Danio rerio: one gene and its partners. The protein of the gene in region 1 binds, or shares a complex with, the protein of each later gene. Links are inferred from orthologs where the notes say so. Each region holds a gene or a part of one and is shown in the gene's direction. Other genes may lie near its edges.

What was found.
Region 2: the proteins of rangap1b (region 1) and senp2 are in contact, whole or in part, in a crystal structure (PDB 2IO3), measured with the Homo sapiens proteins. The link is inferred for Danio rerio from reciprocal best matches to the Homo sapiens genes RANGAP1 and SENP2. Residues at the interface, in NP_001265580.1 of Homo sapiens: Glu467, Asn508, Thr511, Thr514, Arg515, Val518, His519, Leu523, Lys524, Ser525, Glu526, Asp527, Val529; in NP_067640.2 of Homo sapiens: Tyr408, His409, Trp410, Val477, His478, Asp495, Met497, Gly498, Gln499, Lys500, Pro536, His537, Gln541, Gln542, Asn544, Gly545.
Region 3: the proteins of rangap1b (region 1) and xpo1b are in contact, whole or in part, in a cryo-EM structure (PDB 9B62), measured with the Homo sapiens proteins. The link is inferred for Danio rerio from reciprocal best matches to the Homo sapiens genes RANGAP1 and XPO1. Residues at the interface, in NP_001265580.1 of Homo sapiens: Ala2, Asp5, Ile6, Leu9, Ala10, Thr12, Leu13, Ala14, Thr16, Gln17, Val18, Ala19, Gln22, Leu23, Ser24, Phe25, Lys28, Glu44, Arg55, Ala561, Thr564, Lys565, Pro566, Ser568, Glu571, Ser572, Ser574, Phe575, Arg577, His578; in NP_003391.1 of Homo sapiens: Lys245, Ser248, Thr249, Tyr252, Lys253, Glu281, Gln282, Val284, Thr285, Leu289, Met292, Gln293, Gln296, Arg340, Asn342, Leu343, Lys514, Val518, Ile521, Lys522, Leu525, Glu529, Arg532, Lys534, Lys537, Ala538, Ala541, Met545, Phe554, His558.
Region 4: the proteins of rangap1b (region 1) and ran are in contact, whole or in part, in a cryo-EM structure (PDB 9B62), measured with the Homo sapiens proteins. The link is inferred for Danio rerio from reciprocal best matches to the Homo sapiens genes RANGAP1 and RAN. Residues at the interface, in NP_001265580.1 of Homo sapiens: Ser29, Gly58, Asn59, Thr60, Asp86, Thr89, Gly90, Arg91, Leu92, Arg93, Ile96, Asp121, Ala123, Phe124, Gly125, Asp127, Asn151, Cys152, Gly153, Met154, Gly155, Arg189, Asn190, Arg191, Gln217, Asn244, Asp245, Asn246, Thr247, Asp273; in NP_006316.1 of Homo sapiens: Asp18, Gly20, Tyr39, Val40, Ala41, Thr42, Leu43, Gly44, Val45, Glu46, Glu70, Lys71, Leu75, Arg76, Tyr79, Asp91, Thr93, Ser94, Arg95, Val96, Thr97, Asn100, Lys123, Asp128, Arg129, Lys130, Lys132, Lys134.

Annotation. Positions count from the first base shown.
Region 1 is NC_133187.1:20,673,185-20,677,463, reverse strand, and holds the start of rangap1b (ran GTPase-activating protein 1b), read left to right. Parts: upstream 1-1,444; 5' UTR 1,445-1,503; exon of another isoform or gene 1,504-1,556; intron 1,557-2,019; 5' UTR 2,020-2,039; coding exon 2,040-2,151; intron 2,152-2,250; coding exon 2,251-2,378; intron 2,379-2,932; coding exon 2,933-2,992; intron 2,993-3,626; coding exon 3,627-3,806; intron 3,807-4,000; coding exon 4,001-4,135; intron 4,136-4,279. Other genes in the region: plbd1b (phospholipase B-like 1), read right to left, coding at 1-179, 698-767. UniProt on the Homo sapiens protein: GTPase activator for RAN. Converts cytoplasmic GTP-bound RAN to GDP-bound RAN, which is essential for RAN-mediated nuclear import and export. Mediates dissociation of cargo from nuclear export complexes containing XPO1, RAN and RANBP2 after nuclear export.
Region 2 is NC_133181.1:12,360,017-12,363,585, forward strand, and holds part of senp2 (sentrin-specific protease 2), read left to right. Parts: intron 1-2,735; coding exon 2,736-2,842; intron 2,843-2,940; coding exon 2,941-3,019; intron 3,020-3,569. UniProt on the Homo sapiens protein: Protease that catalyzes two essential functions in the SUMO pathway.
Region 3 is NC_133192.1:25,319,457-25,323,025, forward strand, and holds part of xpo1b (exportin-1), read left to right. Parts: intron 1-1,144; coding exon 1,145-1,246; intron 1,247-1,892; exon of another isoform or gene 1,893-1,967; intron 1,968-2,157; exon of another isoform or gene 2,158-2,224; intron 2,225-3,569. UniProt on the Homo sapiens protein: Mediates the nuclear export of cellular proteins (cargos) bearing a leucine-rich nuclear export signal (NES) and of RNAs.
Region 4 is NC_133189.1:25,983,411-25,986,215, forward strand, and holds part of ran (GTP-binding nuclear protein Ran), read left to right. Parts: intron 1-1,577; coding exon 1,578-1,662; intron 1,663-1,781; coding exon 1,782-1,907; intron 1,908-1,980; coding exon 1,981-2,168; exon of another isoform or gene 2,169-2,805. UniProt on the Homo sapiens protein: GTPase involved in nucleocytoplasmic transport, participating both to the import and the export from the nucleus of proteins and RNAs. Switches between a cytoplasmic GDP- and a nuclear GTP-bound state by nucleotide exchange and GTP hydrolysis.

The DNA of each region.
Region 1 (4,279 bases):
GACTTCATCATTCTCCTGGGATTCTCCATAACCAGCTTGCACTTCCAGCACTCCCCATCCAGAAACAGACAAACTATCATTGAAATAACCAAAGGCATCTCCATTCTCTTCCATCACATCCTCTTTCAGGACCACAGACCTCTGAACAGCATCCCAGTACACAGTGGCTCTCTGAACATCTTAAACAATTTAAAAAGACCACATATATCAATAAACATTATAGGTTGACTTGTTTTATATTGTCTTGGTTTGATAAACAAATGCCAAGTATGATAACAAGTTTGTTGTAGTTCTAGCCAAGCGTTTTCAACTTGGTTAAACGGATATTTTACGCAAAAAAGAGAGAAAATTGACTCGCTATATACAGTAGCCTACTCAACCTCGAGTGGTTCCAAGCCCTATGAGTTCAAGATATTTAAGAAGAAAATCGTTTAAAGAAAGTTGAAACCCTGTATCCATATATCCATAGTAGGAAATGAGTCGGTTACTGGTTTTCAGCTTTTTTTCAAATGTGTTTTGCAGAAAAAAGGTAGTTCAAACTGGTTTGGAACAGGTAGAGGATGAGTTAATAATGACAGTTGTATCTGAACAATCAATTTAAGGAATACTAGCCTTCTAATGTTATGTAAACATACAAAAGGACATGTTACCACTAAAACGTGACTTTAAGTGAGTGGAATTAATTTAAAATACTCACGCTGAGCCATTACGAATGTCGCCGCGAGGACGCACAATATAAATACCCTTGTGACGTTAAATCGATACATGTTTCACGCTGAATTAGACTAAGCTTAAGTTTACTTTCTGGATCTGGTTAATCATGGTATGTAATCTGTAATCAAACACTGGGCAAATATAACATCCCAGAATATAATGCTAGACTAAAGTACGAAAAACCAAGATTTGGTTATTCAATTTAGAACTTAAAGACGTTGTATGTCCACATTAACTGGTTTTCTGTCGCAGATCGCCTTGTGTGTGATTAAAAGATTTCCACCCCAGATGGGACTCGAACCCACAATCCCTGGCTTAGGAGGCCAGTGCCTTATCCATTAGGCCACTGGGGCTTGCGTCATGGAGTGTGTAGAATGTGTATTACAAACGGTCTTATAAACGGAATGCAAGTCGTACATTTAATCTAACTTGTTTTACCAAATTTTAAATATAATTAGTAAATACAAATGATTTGTTATTCAGCTATATATTTACATGAATCAGCATTCTTATTTAAGTCACACATTTGTCTAATGTTAAATTTATTTCAACGTGCAACATTTTATTGATTTATTATAAAAATAAAAAAACAGTAATAAAAAACAGTATTTAAACAGTATTTAAATGAAAAATTTAAACCGAAAAATAATGACGTTTTCAGTAACGCTGTGCTATTATAACAATCAAAAATATTAATCGTGCTTTTATTATGAAAGATCATGACACCGGCACTTTCAAAGGACTGCCGCCTCCATGTGCCTCCTGTTTTGATGGTTTTATTCTGGTAACGTAAGTTAGTTATCTGCTATCTTCCTCCATTAAAATCCGCGCCGAGGTGTGAGGTAAATAGAAAACATTCACTTACTTTTTTAGATTTAACCAAAGTTCCTGCGCTAAATTAGCTAGTTTGAAGTCATGAATGAGATTAATGCTAGTAAGCTAACTCCTCTCTGAGTTAGCTTAAACCGTTTGTGTATCAGCCGTAGTACCAATGATGCAATGATATTATCATACTAGCTAGCTGTTTGAGGACTATATTGAGCTTAGTAATACTGTTTAAAGTTCATCAAGCACATTTCAAATATAACACGTAGCGTTATTTCTTTGGCTGTCATTTATATCCATGTTTAGAGATAACGTTAAGCTAGCAGTGGCTATATTAATATTACAGTCTTAATAACAATGAAGTAAGATTAAGGATGTACTTTTTATATATCCTAAATAAATTCATATGATTGTGAGGTATGTTTTAGGTTTAACGAGATACATTTTTGAAACACACTTATGTCTTACTAACTTTATTAGAAGAGAAAACGGGGAAAGCAATGGCCTTAGGGGATATTGCTCAGATTACAGAGGCTCTGGCCAAAACTCATGTTGGAGAAGTGGAGTTAAGTTATAAGGGACGAGGGCTGAAGCTGGACAATGCAGAATCAGGTGAGTAAAACGTTCTCTGTATTATCAAATTTGTTTATTTTTCATGTCTTAATCCATAAGCAACATCTCTTGGAATTCCCTCCTTTTCTTTTGTTACAGTGAAAGAGATTGTGGAGGACATTGAACGGTGTCAGGGTCTGCAGTCTCTCCGGTTAGAGGGAAACACATTGGGTGTTGAAGCAGCAGATGCCATTGCGAAGTCGCTTGAAGCTAAACGTGAACTGGAGGTAGTTTTAAATTACTAGTAGACATATGCAATAAACTGAGATAACGAGCATACACAATATTGATATCATGGGCTCTTCAAAATGTTAGTTAACGTCTTATAATGCATAAAAAATGTTGATTGGAGTTAATGGCTAATACTGGTCAGTTGAATTTTTGACATACTAACTTAAACATAGTTACTATAACTGCCCTTTTTCTCAGTGTTAATTTTAAATTTAATGCATTAATTAACAATTACTATTAGGACTTTATTGTAAAGTGTAAAGTGTTACCTAGTGTATTAGTGCAATTAAATTTGTTTGAAACATTTGTTTGCTCTCAGCAGATATGTACAATTAAGCAATACAATAATTGTTTGTTTTTCTACGTTACATGAACCTTTTTGCAACTTTGGTTAATATTGTGACAATTGTGGTATAATGTACAGTGATAAAACCTTCAGGATTTAATTGCAGCAAGAAAATCTGATACCATCCTAAACCTAAATACCACTGCACAGTTTTTACTTTCACTTTGCTGCTTTTATAACTTGTCTTTTTTTTTTCTCTCAAAGCAATGTCATTGGAGTGACATGTTTACAGGCCGCCTTCGCTCTGAAATTCCACCTGCTCTGGTAAGCTTTTGTATATCCAGTTAAAAACATTTATTTATTTCTTTTAGGGCTGCACAATGTGATGCACAATCACATTCAGGTATAAGAAATTGTACCTTTTTTTTTTACCATAACTGATTATATTAATGAATTATTTTTATCATTCAGTTACTGTACTTGAATATTGTTTGACTCAGGAAATAATAAAACACTTTATTTCAATTGTATTTTTCTTTCTTGATTGTATTTATGGATTGTTAAGCATAAAATACTCAAAACACATGCAAAAACAGAAATACACTGTAAATAGCACAGACCACAATGAAAATGTGTCGGGGTACCTGTAAAAATGTATAGATTGTTTATTAGATTTTATAGAGGTGCTTTTCCACTGCAGTATCATCCCAATCGATCTAACATTATAAATTCTTCCCAAATAAAGATATTATGAAGTTATCTGGTGAAATTGTATTCTTAGCGCAATGTATATCGCAAGATAAGAAAATATTGCAATGTTAGATTTTTCAAATATTGTGCAGCCGTAATTTCTATGCATTCTTCAAGTAAATTGTTTTCATTCAAAACAATTCATTCTTCATTTTTCATTCAAAAGTAAATTGCTGATATTCTAACCAACGGTTTTCTCCAATTTTAGAAATCACTGGGCAATGCTTTGATGACGTCAGGGGCTCGCTTGACTCAGCTGGACCTGAGCGACAATGCTTTCGGCCCTGATGGAGTGAAAGGAATCGAAAACCTCCTAAAGAGCTCTGCGTGCTACACTTTACAGGAGCTCAGGCTTAATAACTGTGGCATGGGCAGTGGAGGAGGGGTGGTAAGTTTAGTATTAAAAAAACTCTGGTCCAACCTAAGAAAACCCTGTTTATCTGCTTGTTATTAGGTCAGTGAAGTAGGCTTTTGCTCTCTGACATGATTATAAACGTGTTAATACTTTTTGAGGTTTACAGCACAGGTTTGTCTGTGTATTTTATTTATTTATTTATTTTTTTTATTTATTTATTTTTTTAGGTCCTTGCTTCTGCATTGACTGAATGCCATAAGCAGTCAAGTGCTGCTGCCTCCCCACTGAGGTTAAAAGTCTTCATAGCTGGACGTAATCGCCTGGAGAATGATGGTGCCACTGCACTTGCCAAAGCATTTAAGGTCTGAGGCATAACTTATTCATCTATATATATCATGATTAAGTATCTGGGTGCACATAGATGCATTAAATATGTAAATGAAGACTTTATATTTTTCAAGACCTTATTAGCGTCATCATGGTGAAATGAATGCTGGTTTTCAACA
Region 2 (3,569 bases), on another chromosome or scaffold:
AATAGAACAGTGAAGCAAATTTGACTTTTTCCAAATAATATATTTTCAGTTACTATAAACAACACCACTTACAATGAACAAATAAAAATAAGAAAATAATAAATAATGTGTCAAAGTCCAAATAAAGTCCAAATAAACATGGTGCAAATCCTCAGTAAAAAATAGATATAAATATTTACTATACTATAAATAGTTACATAACGAAACTAGATTCAATATGGAACATCCTTAGGTTTTATGTGCCAGCATGGATATGGTTGTCTATCGATATGGATTTGGATATGGTTGTCTGCAATGCAGACAAACAGCTGCACCTTCATTTGCGTCTTTTGAAAACAGCAAGAGCAGCAGTTCGTCTTTGCTGTGTCACTGTTTTGTCATGTTTCTGTGCTGCTGTGCATGCAAAAGTACTTAGTATGAGAATTATTTCATGCAAAACTTTTTTTTTTTGCGTTTTATTTAGCCGCGCATAAATGTATGCCTATCTCTCATTCCGTGTTGTTCAAAAAGCTTGGTCCACAAACAAAAGCGAAACCTATGCTTATTGGTTGTGATATAGCGAGTTTGAACCAATCTGAGCATGGAGGAGGGACAATGCATCAATGTATCATGTCTGATTTGTCCGGAGACACAGTGACGAGCGTTTCTTTGTCAAATCAGCGTTGTCAAATTTTGATGACGTAACCGCACTGATTCCGGAGCCTCTGAAAGTCCACGAATGTTATGTGATACAGCACTGGAAAGCTGAGATTCTCTTCTTTATGCCAATCTTTGAATTGTATGAATCGGATCAGCGGATCAAAAGTAATTAAACATTTAAGAGCAATACTTATTTTTAGCCGCGGGCGGCTGTCTCGGTCTTTAAGGGTTAAAACCGTTGATATGCAATTGTTCATGGTATGATAATCGTGCACGTTCAAATCGTGATAAACCGTCATACCAGTATATTGTTACAACCCTACAACACCGGCACTGCATTTTCCTCTGTTGCATCAGTGATGGGTCGTTCTTAAACGATTCGTTCATTTTAAACATCTTTTTTGTATGACTCATTGAGTGAATCATTCATTTGAGCATGCTCACATTTGTGCAATTGGAGATCATGTGCTACCTTGGAGTGGTCTGTTTCACACAGAATGTGCATGTGTGGCCTCAACCCATATCGATATGCAAGATATTGGATAATCCCGCATTGCGTTTAGGGAATCCTATCGATATATATCCCCAGATACCGCACAGCTCTTGTACATATAGGCATCTGTGACAGTTTTTCACTGTGCTGGTGGTTTATGTACATCATTTTGGTTGTTCTGTTAGTGTAAGTAAACGTCTTTTTGCAGTGTTTGCTTCCATTTAGTGTTTTTTCTGGCGCACTTCACCGCTGTCATTTTAGTCTGCCGCTCCACCTCTTGCTCGCTGCTGATGTGCAGGTTAAGTGAGTTTGTGCCTGTAAACACATCACCCCTCTGTTTAAAAAAAAAATCTATCGCGATTCCTTCAACATTTCTACCAGTTTGAATACCAGTTTCACATATTTGAATCGATTTTCAACCGGCTCATGTTGAGTCATAACATCCCTAATGGAAAACAGTTGACTTCAATGTCATTTGCATGAAATACAATGAACAAATAACTATTGTGTATAAGTTGAATCCACCAAGGATACAAATGAAGTATACAGTGCTATTTTTTTCCTGAGAATTTCTAACAGTGTTTTGAAACAGAAATTGAATAATCAAATATGAAAATCTTCACTGTGTAAATTAAATGCAGTTAGAGCTAAACTGATTGTTTCTAGTCATTAATTCTTTAAACTCAATTGGAATGTTTACATTTAAAAACACACACAAATGATAAACTTTCACACTATTATGGTTAAACTTTGCAATTGATAGACAAATCAGTGTCACCTAAGCATTGTAAGCTGTAATATCTGGTCAGCATTGAGGTAAAGTTGGTTTTATATTCGCACATTCGTTCAGTGACAACTTAAGACACGCTCCTTATATTGTTTACTATGGTACTTTGAATATTCAGTCTGAAATCACATGTAAGTATGACTTCAGAACAACATTAGCATTATTTAATTGGCTGTAAACAATGCTGTACTTTGATAGTCTTTGCCTGCTAATATGATTTTCCTATTTAAAATTTGCAAATAAGACTCTTCTGATAATATGATATTGAGAAAGTCTAAATGCGTGAAAATAAAACAAACTTTACTACACATTCTGCAATATACAAATTATTACAGTGCTCACATTACTTTATCAATGTTGAAGCAATATAGTGTTTAGCTGTACTAGTCTAATACAAAAAATGGGGACTTTTTTCGAATTGGGGAACATTTTTCCATTGTTTTCTTCAGAACAGTGTCAAATCCAGCACAATATGAACTACATTGGTGCAACTGACTTCTGAATGGGCAAATACATGTCATATATACCCTGGCACGGTATTTTAAAATGTTACTTTATGCTCAAAATCATCAATCTTTTAGCTATTGATTTTGTTGAATCAGCACATGACACCGATGTTGGCAAGCATATGCCACTAGCCAGTTCCTTCTGACTGAATACTACCATAAAAAAACGATCAGGGTGGAAATTAGTTCTAATGAACCAGGCCTGATGGCTAGTTTAATGGCGGAGTTTATGTAACTACAAAATGTGAAAGTGCCTATTGCTCCTTCACTGGATTTTTCTCAGTCATTTTCTGTCTCTTTCTCTCTACAGATGTGATTGTCAGGGTGGTCAAGAAAACTTTTGCTGGAATTGCTGGCCTGTTCCGTTCGAGAGTCCATAGAAAAGCTGAACATGAAAAGCAGAATGCCTTCACGCAGGTACAATCATCATAAAATCCTCACTCGAATGCCATCTTTGCACACCCTTGGTTTTATTCACTGTTCACATGGTCTTGTTTCTTGTTTTGCTTGCTCAGGTTGGCAGGGTTACATTTATGGGTATTGATGACATATACAGCAACAGCCTGAGTTCATGGATTGAAAGTGACGGCATGGGTAAATGTGAACTCATTTTACTTTTTTTTTTTTTTTTTTTGTGAGTGTGTAAGTGTGAGTGATCTGGCTAAGAATTTGACAGACACAAACTACTGTTCAAAAGTTCAGGATCAGTCCTATTTTCATTTCTTTCAGTGAGTCATACAGAAAGCCTTTGCATCTTCCATAGTAATACTAAGCAGTATTGCTGTTTTTTTTTATATATATATATATATAAAGATTTAAAATAAGAAATGTTCAGATCAGCATATTAGAAAGGCCTCTTGGGGATCATTTAAAAGTTCAGCTTTGCCTTTACAGGAGTTCCAGTTTAAATAGAAAGTAATTTTAAGTTGCAAATTATGGAAGCATACGAGTAGCATAATTCAATTAAAAATGTAATATGCAAAATGGCAATGCAATATGTTAAATGGCAATGTATTTCTGTATTTGAATTTGCATTTTCCAAGACATATGAGCAATGTTTGGTGCAGAATGAAAATGTAAATTAAATTACATTGTTTGCATTTCTCATTTCAAACACTGTTTTAATATGTAAATTGTATCCACA
Region 3 (3,569 bases), on another chromosome or scaffold:
TTTTTTCAATTACTTTCCCTACCATGTGTTGAGTTACGTGACCCCGCTTGTTCAAGGCCAATTTATCCTATTATATTCCATTTTATACTTCTGCCAAGGGCACATACAGTCCAGCAAAGCGTTCACATACCTGCACACTTCTCAAAAAAATGTAATTGCGCGTCACAACGACACGTTGCACAAGCTTTGTGATTGGTCAGTTTGGTAGAGGTGACGTGGGTGCGCGGCGTGGAGAGCCGCGTTTTAGGCACTGTTTGTCTTTATCTCAGTTGTTCAATATTGATGTTCAATAAATAATCATAGACAGTAGATAGTGTGTGTTTCCTTTAATTTTAATCAAGTAATGCACAATCAAAAATCTCTCACTTGTAATATGTGAGCACATTTACTGTACAAAACTTGTCAGTGAACTATGAGGGCAAAAACATAAAACAAATAAATTAAACAATCTTTCATTAATCGTAATCGAGTTAAAATGTTTAATTAATCGAGATTTAGGTTTTAGGACAAATCGTTCAGGCCTAGTTCATGCAGAAAACGGTAGTAAATCTGCACCTGCCTTTGCATTGATTTGCTCACTGATGTATTCTGCATTGTTCTCTATCTGTTGAGTGACAGTATGTTTTATATATATATATATATATATATATATATATATATATATATATATATATATATATATATATATATATATATATATATATATATATAACAGATTCATTTACAACATTAAATTTGAGTTTACTTTTGTGTAGCTTAACAATACAACAAACAAATGAAAAATTTTGTTTAATTGGATTAAATTGAATTAATTTATTTTTATTAGTTATTTAAAATCCTTAGGGTTTGCAGAAATTATGTATTTTTACATGAGGAACCTTACTGTGACATTCTGTTACCACTGAAAATATTCTTCTTTCGTTTAAATTCAAAATGCATCTTAGAAATAAATTGTACTCAAAAATAATATAAAAAGTTGGCAGCTTTTTACAATTGTACAAATATATATATGTCACTTTTTAAATGGCAGTGTTTGTTTATTTACTATATACATTAGTGAATGCACTGACATCATTAACACTCAGCCAGTATATTGTTGCACCATAGTGTTATACAAGTTAAGATGAATGTTTTTTTGTTTCAGCAAAGAATGGCCCAGGAGGTGCTGACTCATTTGAAGGAGCACCCAGATGCGTGGACACGAGTCGACACCATTCTAGAGTTCTCTCAAAACATGAACACCAAAGTAAGCAGAGACCCAACTTGCTCCAGTTGGTGGGTCATGGTTTCTATACTTTGAGGAAGATCTGATCTCTTATCACACATCATACAAAATCACAATTTGGTTTTTGGCTCTTTCTTTCGAACCAGGAAGGTTGCCTTATGTAAGCAAGACCCTTTTTTAAGCGTACTGGGGTTGCTTAGCATCAAGTCAGAAACAGATTCCTTTGTGCACATGTGAGATCACATTTTCCTTCACTCTCCTCGCATTCGTTTCCTGGTCAAGAAAAGTCAGAGTTAAAGTTGATGTGTGAGGATCCTCTGTTGACGGTGAAATGCCTCAGTACCTCCATCTGTACAGCAGCCAGAGGTGCTTTGATGACTGACTGTTTGAGGTCAGGATGTATTAAAACAGTGATCCATGAATTCTTATTTTATCATTTTTATATAAAGGAAAGCAGAGGATCCATGTACAATTTCTGGTTTTACAAGTAAACATTTCTGCACTGATAAAACCTTAAGTCTTTTTTGTATTTGGGATGAATGGTTTTCCTCACTGTGTTAATAGACTTCCTCAAAGTACTGCTGACCCAGTTTGCCGTCTGCTTGCCTTTTTAAGATTGCTCTTAACACTCTGGTCATTACTAATGTTTGAGTTGATTTATCAACAGTATCGATAATATCAAAATGATAATGGCCCAAAAGTGAGGCCTCTAGAGGAACAGACAGGAAAAAATACAGAGCAGGTAAATTCTTTGAATTTGTCTAAATTGATCAAGAAAAATACAGAACGAGCGCTTTAAAGTGCTGTTGAACATTTGGCTTTTTGCTTAATTTATTTTACAGTCGGTGAAAAAGCAAACAAATTCAATTAATTGAAGTTGTTCATATTTGATATTAATCACAATGTTCCATTATGTTGATTGCTTGTAATAGGACGAAAAGGGGTGTGTCTTCCTGTGCACCTTGACACAGCTAGGCTTTGGCGGCAGGCCTCCACAAGGTCTACCTTTTCATTCCCTTACTCTCAATTCTGCTGTGCCTCCATTCACACTGCACATGCCTCATATGGAGCTGAGAGACGACAGGGAGATAGGCAGGCAGTTTACCCCATTTTTATTTCTACCCCAATCATGGGTGGTTACAGCTATTTTCACTGTAGGGATTATCAGTGTCTGTGCTGTGCAATCCGTTTTCTCCCTAAGCATTTCTGCATTTCTATCCTGGCCCTGTAATTTTTCTCCCAATCATGCACCAAGAAATGTTGCAACATCACATGTGAGCAGTCAAAATATAATACTTTGCATGCTGTTGCAATGTTAATATTTATTTGAATTCTTGGGACAATTAAAGGTGAACGCCTACTGGTGATTTTCATTGGGTGAAATACTGGGTTTCTGTGGGGTCTTAAAATCTTACATCTCAATTTACTGAAATATTATGTTGTAGGTCTTAAATGTTTTTTAAACAGGTCTTAATTTTTCTTTGTTCATATATTGCTACCCAATCTAGCCAAAACCCATACAATCACTAAGAATCCATCTCAGTAAAACTTTAAACTCTTTATAGAGGTCATTTTTAACTCTATTTATCATAATGGTTTAATAATTTTTTTTACAATAACATTTGTTTAAAATTCTTCATGTATTTTCTGCTGATGACACCGACCTGGACTGTTGGAATGTTGCGCATAGATTAAGTTTATAATTTGTTTTTAAAACTTTAAAGCTTTTGTTCATTTATTTTTTTTAAAAGAAAGTTTATGTTGGAAAAAAAGTGTATGGAAAGTAGAGCTTGCTTGTTTTTACACAATATTTAAATTATTTAGCTAAGAAATAAAATCTAATTTATTTCATTGTTTATTATTAATGTTATTTATTATTGTATTATTAAATGTATTAAATTATAATATGTTTTTTTTAATAGGTCAAATAAAAATATTTTTAATCTGGGCCATTTGAAAAAAGCCTAAGTCTTTAGCCCATTTTTGAGTTTCATTGATAATGGTCTTAAAAATGTCGTAAGTCTTAAATTTAACTTGGTGAAACCTGCAGAAACCCTGAAATCTTTGCATATGCAAGTAACCTATTTCTCCAGGCCTTCAACCTTTAATATCCTTCTGTCATCAGTATTTTCTGTTTTCCTTTAACACATTAACATTTTTGTCTCACGTTTTTTGCCTCTTCTTATTAATCCCTACAGTCGAAATGCTGATGATCCTAATAACACTAGTGACCATAACAAGGACACTAATGCACCATGAATACTTTCTTAAAAGCAGCATGTAAAACATTTTAAGGTAGTTTTATAGATCCAAACCTGTGGCTCGTCTTGCTGTTTTTGAGACC
Region 4 (2,805 bases), on another chromosome or scaffold:
CTCATAATCATAAAGCTCTTGTGCTGCAGGAATGAGGAGGTCTGCTGAAGGAGCGTAGCTGTGGTGCAGTGAGGGGTTTATGTCTTTAATAACCTACGGCAGTTTGTGTTCACTGAACAGTAAGAATGATTAATAAATTCATATAAAAGTTACTTAATAGACGTCTCGCTTTCAGTTTCGGGCTTTGGCGCATTTTGCACTCATACTACAAGCGTACCGCGCCAAAGCCCAAGTGAACTGCGCTCAGGCCTACCTCTTCCAACCAGGCCAGGGCCGGCCAAGTGAACCGTGGTTGAGCCCGATTCAGCGCACTCACACTTCTCAAATGATCCGTGAAATGGGCCTGGGCACGGTACGGATGGCATAGTGTGAGTAGGCCCTGAATGGCATTTTATAATGATCCACATCCACACAGACGTCTTGCATTTCTGAGCAGCCCTCCTTCCTCACTACCGCTGAAAACGCACATCACGTGACCACATACACACAGGCAGGCACACACATTGTCATCTGCTCAAGACAGCAGTCCAGGCAGTCAGCGGGTCAGTAGACTGCTTCAATCTTTCACTTTTACACTTGTACTTGGTAATTTTAGCGAACGCCTTAGATACTGTTGGCTTGGTCCTGTTGGTTGTGGACCTTTTTTTACTGATGCCATTATAAGGACACAGATCACTGCCTATTCACGAGTCTCGCGGAAAGTGATTTCCGGATGGCAATTATGTTTGTAACTTATTTTTATTCATTTACTGTATTATTCATTTATGATTATTTAATTGTTCTTTTTTAAATCGAATCGAACCGTGACTTTAGAATCGAAAATGTAATCGAATCAGGGATTTGGAGGATTGTGACACCCTTACTTCGTAAAGCCATATATGTGGCTATTACACAACCATAAAACACGGATTTAGCCTGATTTGTTAGTTTATTGGATCTTTTGGTTAATACAATTGATCCACTCCAGAGTTGTTCAATTAAGCCGAGAACACCTCATTCAGGCAGTCTCGGACCAATTGTTTCGGGGCAGATCAGGACCCGATTACTAGTTTTACAAATGCCAAACAAACCACGCTTACTGGGCAAACAAGATCGGTTTCGTAAAAAATGTCAAGGTGTGAAAAGCACCCTATTTGGGCACGATTGACAAACATTCACATCCAAAATAAAACTTTAGCAACACGGCAGCACCCTGATCGGGCCAGTAACAATTGTGTACTCTCCTGAGTGTCTCGCATGCTGGGCCTGGGCCATCGGGCAGTCCTTATTGTCGAGCCCTGATATACATACGTAAGATAATTTAAGTGCAAACTCAAATTGGGTTGACAATTTGACAATTGGGATAGTCTTCCATCATTACTAATAATAAATTGATCATTGCGGTTAGATCCCATCTTTATATCTATGCCTGTAATGCCCTTGTGTAATCTATAGCAAATTGTATCTGTGAGGTCATAAATGACTGTTTTATCCAAGCAATTATTTTCTTTTAAGGTCTGTCTAACCAATTTGAAGGGCTGCTTATGTGATGCTAGTTTTGCTAATGTCGAATTTTTTTTTTCTCCCCCCAACCACAGCTGGTTCTGGTAGGTGATGGAGGTACGGGGAAAACCACCTTCGTGAAGAGACACTTGACTGGGGAGTTTGAAAAGAAATATGTTGGTAAGTGTTTGCTTCACATGAAACACTTATTCAGGTGACATCTCAGTGAAACTTCTGGAAGAATGTGCGACTTGTGTGATCCTGACATTAATATGCTGCTTTTAATTGTGTCGTTTTAGCTACACTTGGAGTTGAGGTACATCCCCTGGTCTTCCACACTAACAGAGGAGCCATCAAATATAATGTATGGGACACAGCCGGACAGGAGAAGTTCGGTGGCCTGAGAGATGGCTATTACATCCAGGGTATGAAACTCTTCTGTTTATATGCTTTGCTGATGAGGCAACAGTGGATTAACATGTGTTTCTGTTTTTCTAGCTCAATGTGCAATCATCATGTTTGATGTAACTTCTCGAGTGACCTACAAAAATGTGCCCAACTGGCATCGTGACTTGGTGCGCGTGTGCGAGAACATTCCCATAGTGCTTTGTGGTAACAAAGTGGACATCAAGGACAGGAAGGTCAAAGCAAAGAGCATCGTGTTTCACCGTAAGAAGAATCTACAGGTATGTTGCATCATTTTAAAGATAGAATGATAGAAACGTCAACAAATAATCCATGCATGGGTTTAGTTCATATAACACTTCCTGATTTTTATCAAATTAATCTTCCGCTAAATATGACAGACTTTAATTCATTTAGATGGGTGAAATGAAGTGCTGTTTTATTGCTGTCAATTTAGTGTGAGCTGCTGTTCAACTGTTGTCCAGACAAAATATTCAAAACTGTTTATTCGTGAGGTCTTCAATAAAATAAAAAAACACAATTTAAGCCCTTACAATTTAAATCCACTGAAATATTGGGTTGTAGGTCCTAAATATTGGGTTGTAGGTCAAAAATCATTTAAAACAAATCTTCATTTTTCTTTGTCCAGGTAAAAACCACCCTATGAAGCTGACACCTGATCAGCAATACATATCTAAGCTTTCTTCTTCTTCTTCTTTTTTTTTTTTTTTTTTTTTGCAAATTAAGTTCTCTATCCAGGGAAGGAAAACTAAAGTTTAACATTCCTTACATGATTTGCCTTTAATCCAAAAAACTATCTACAGAAGTAGCTGGCCCATTTAAAAAAATAAATCCTTAATGTTTTGATCTGTGTAAGTCTCTAAAATTTAATTCACTAGGGTCTTAAAATTTACTTAA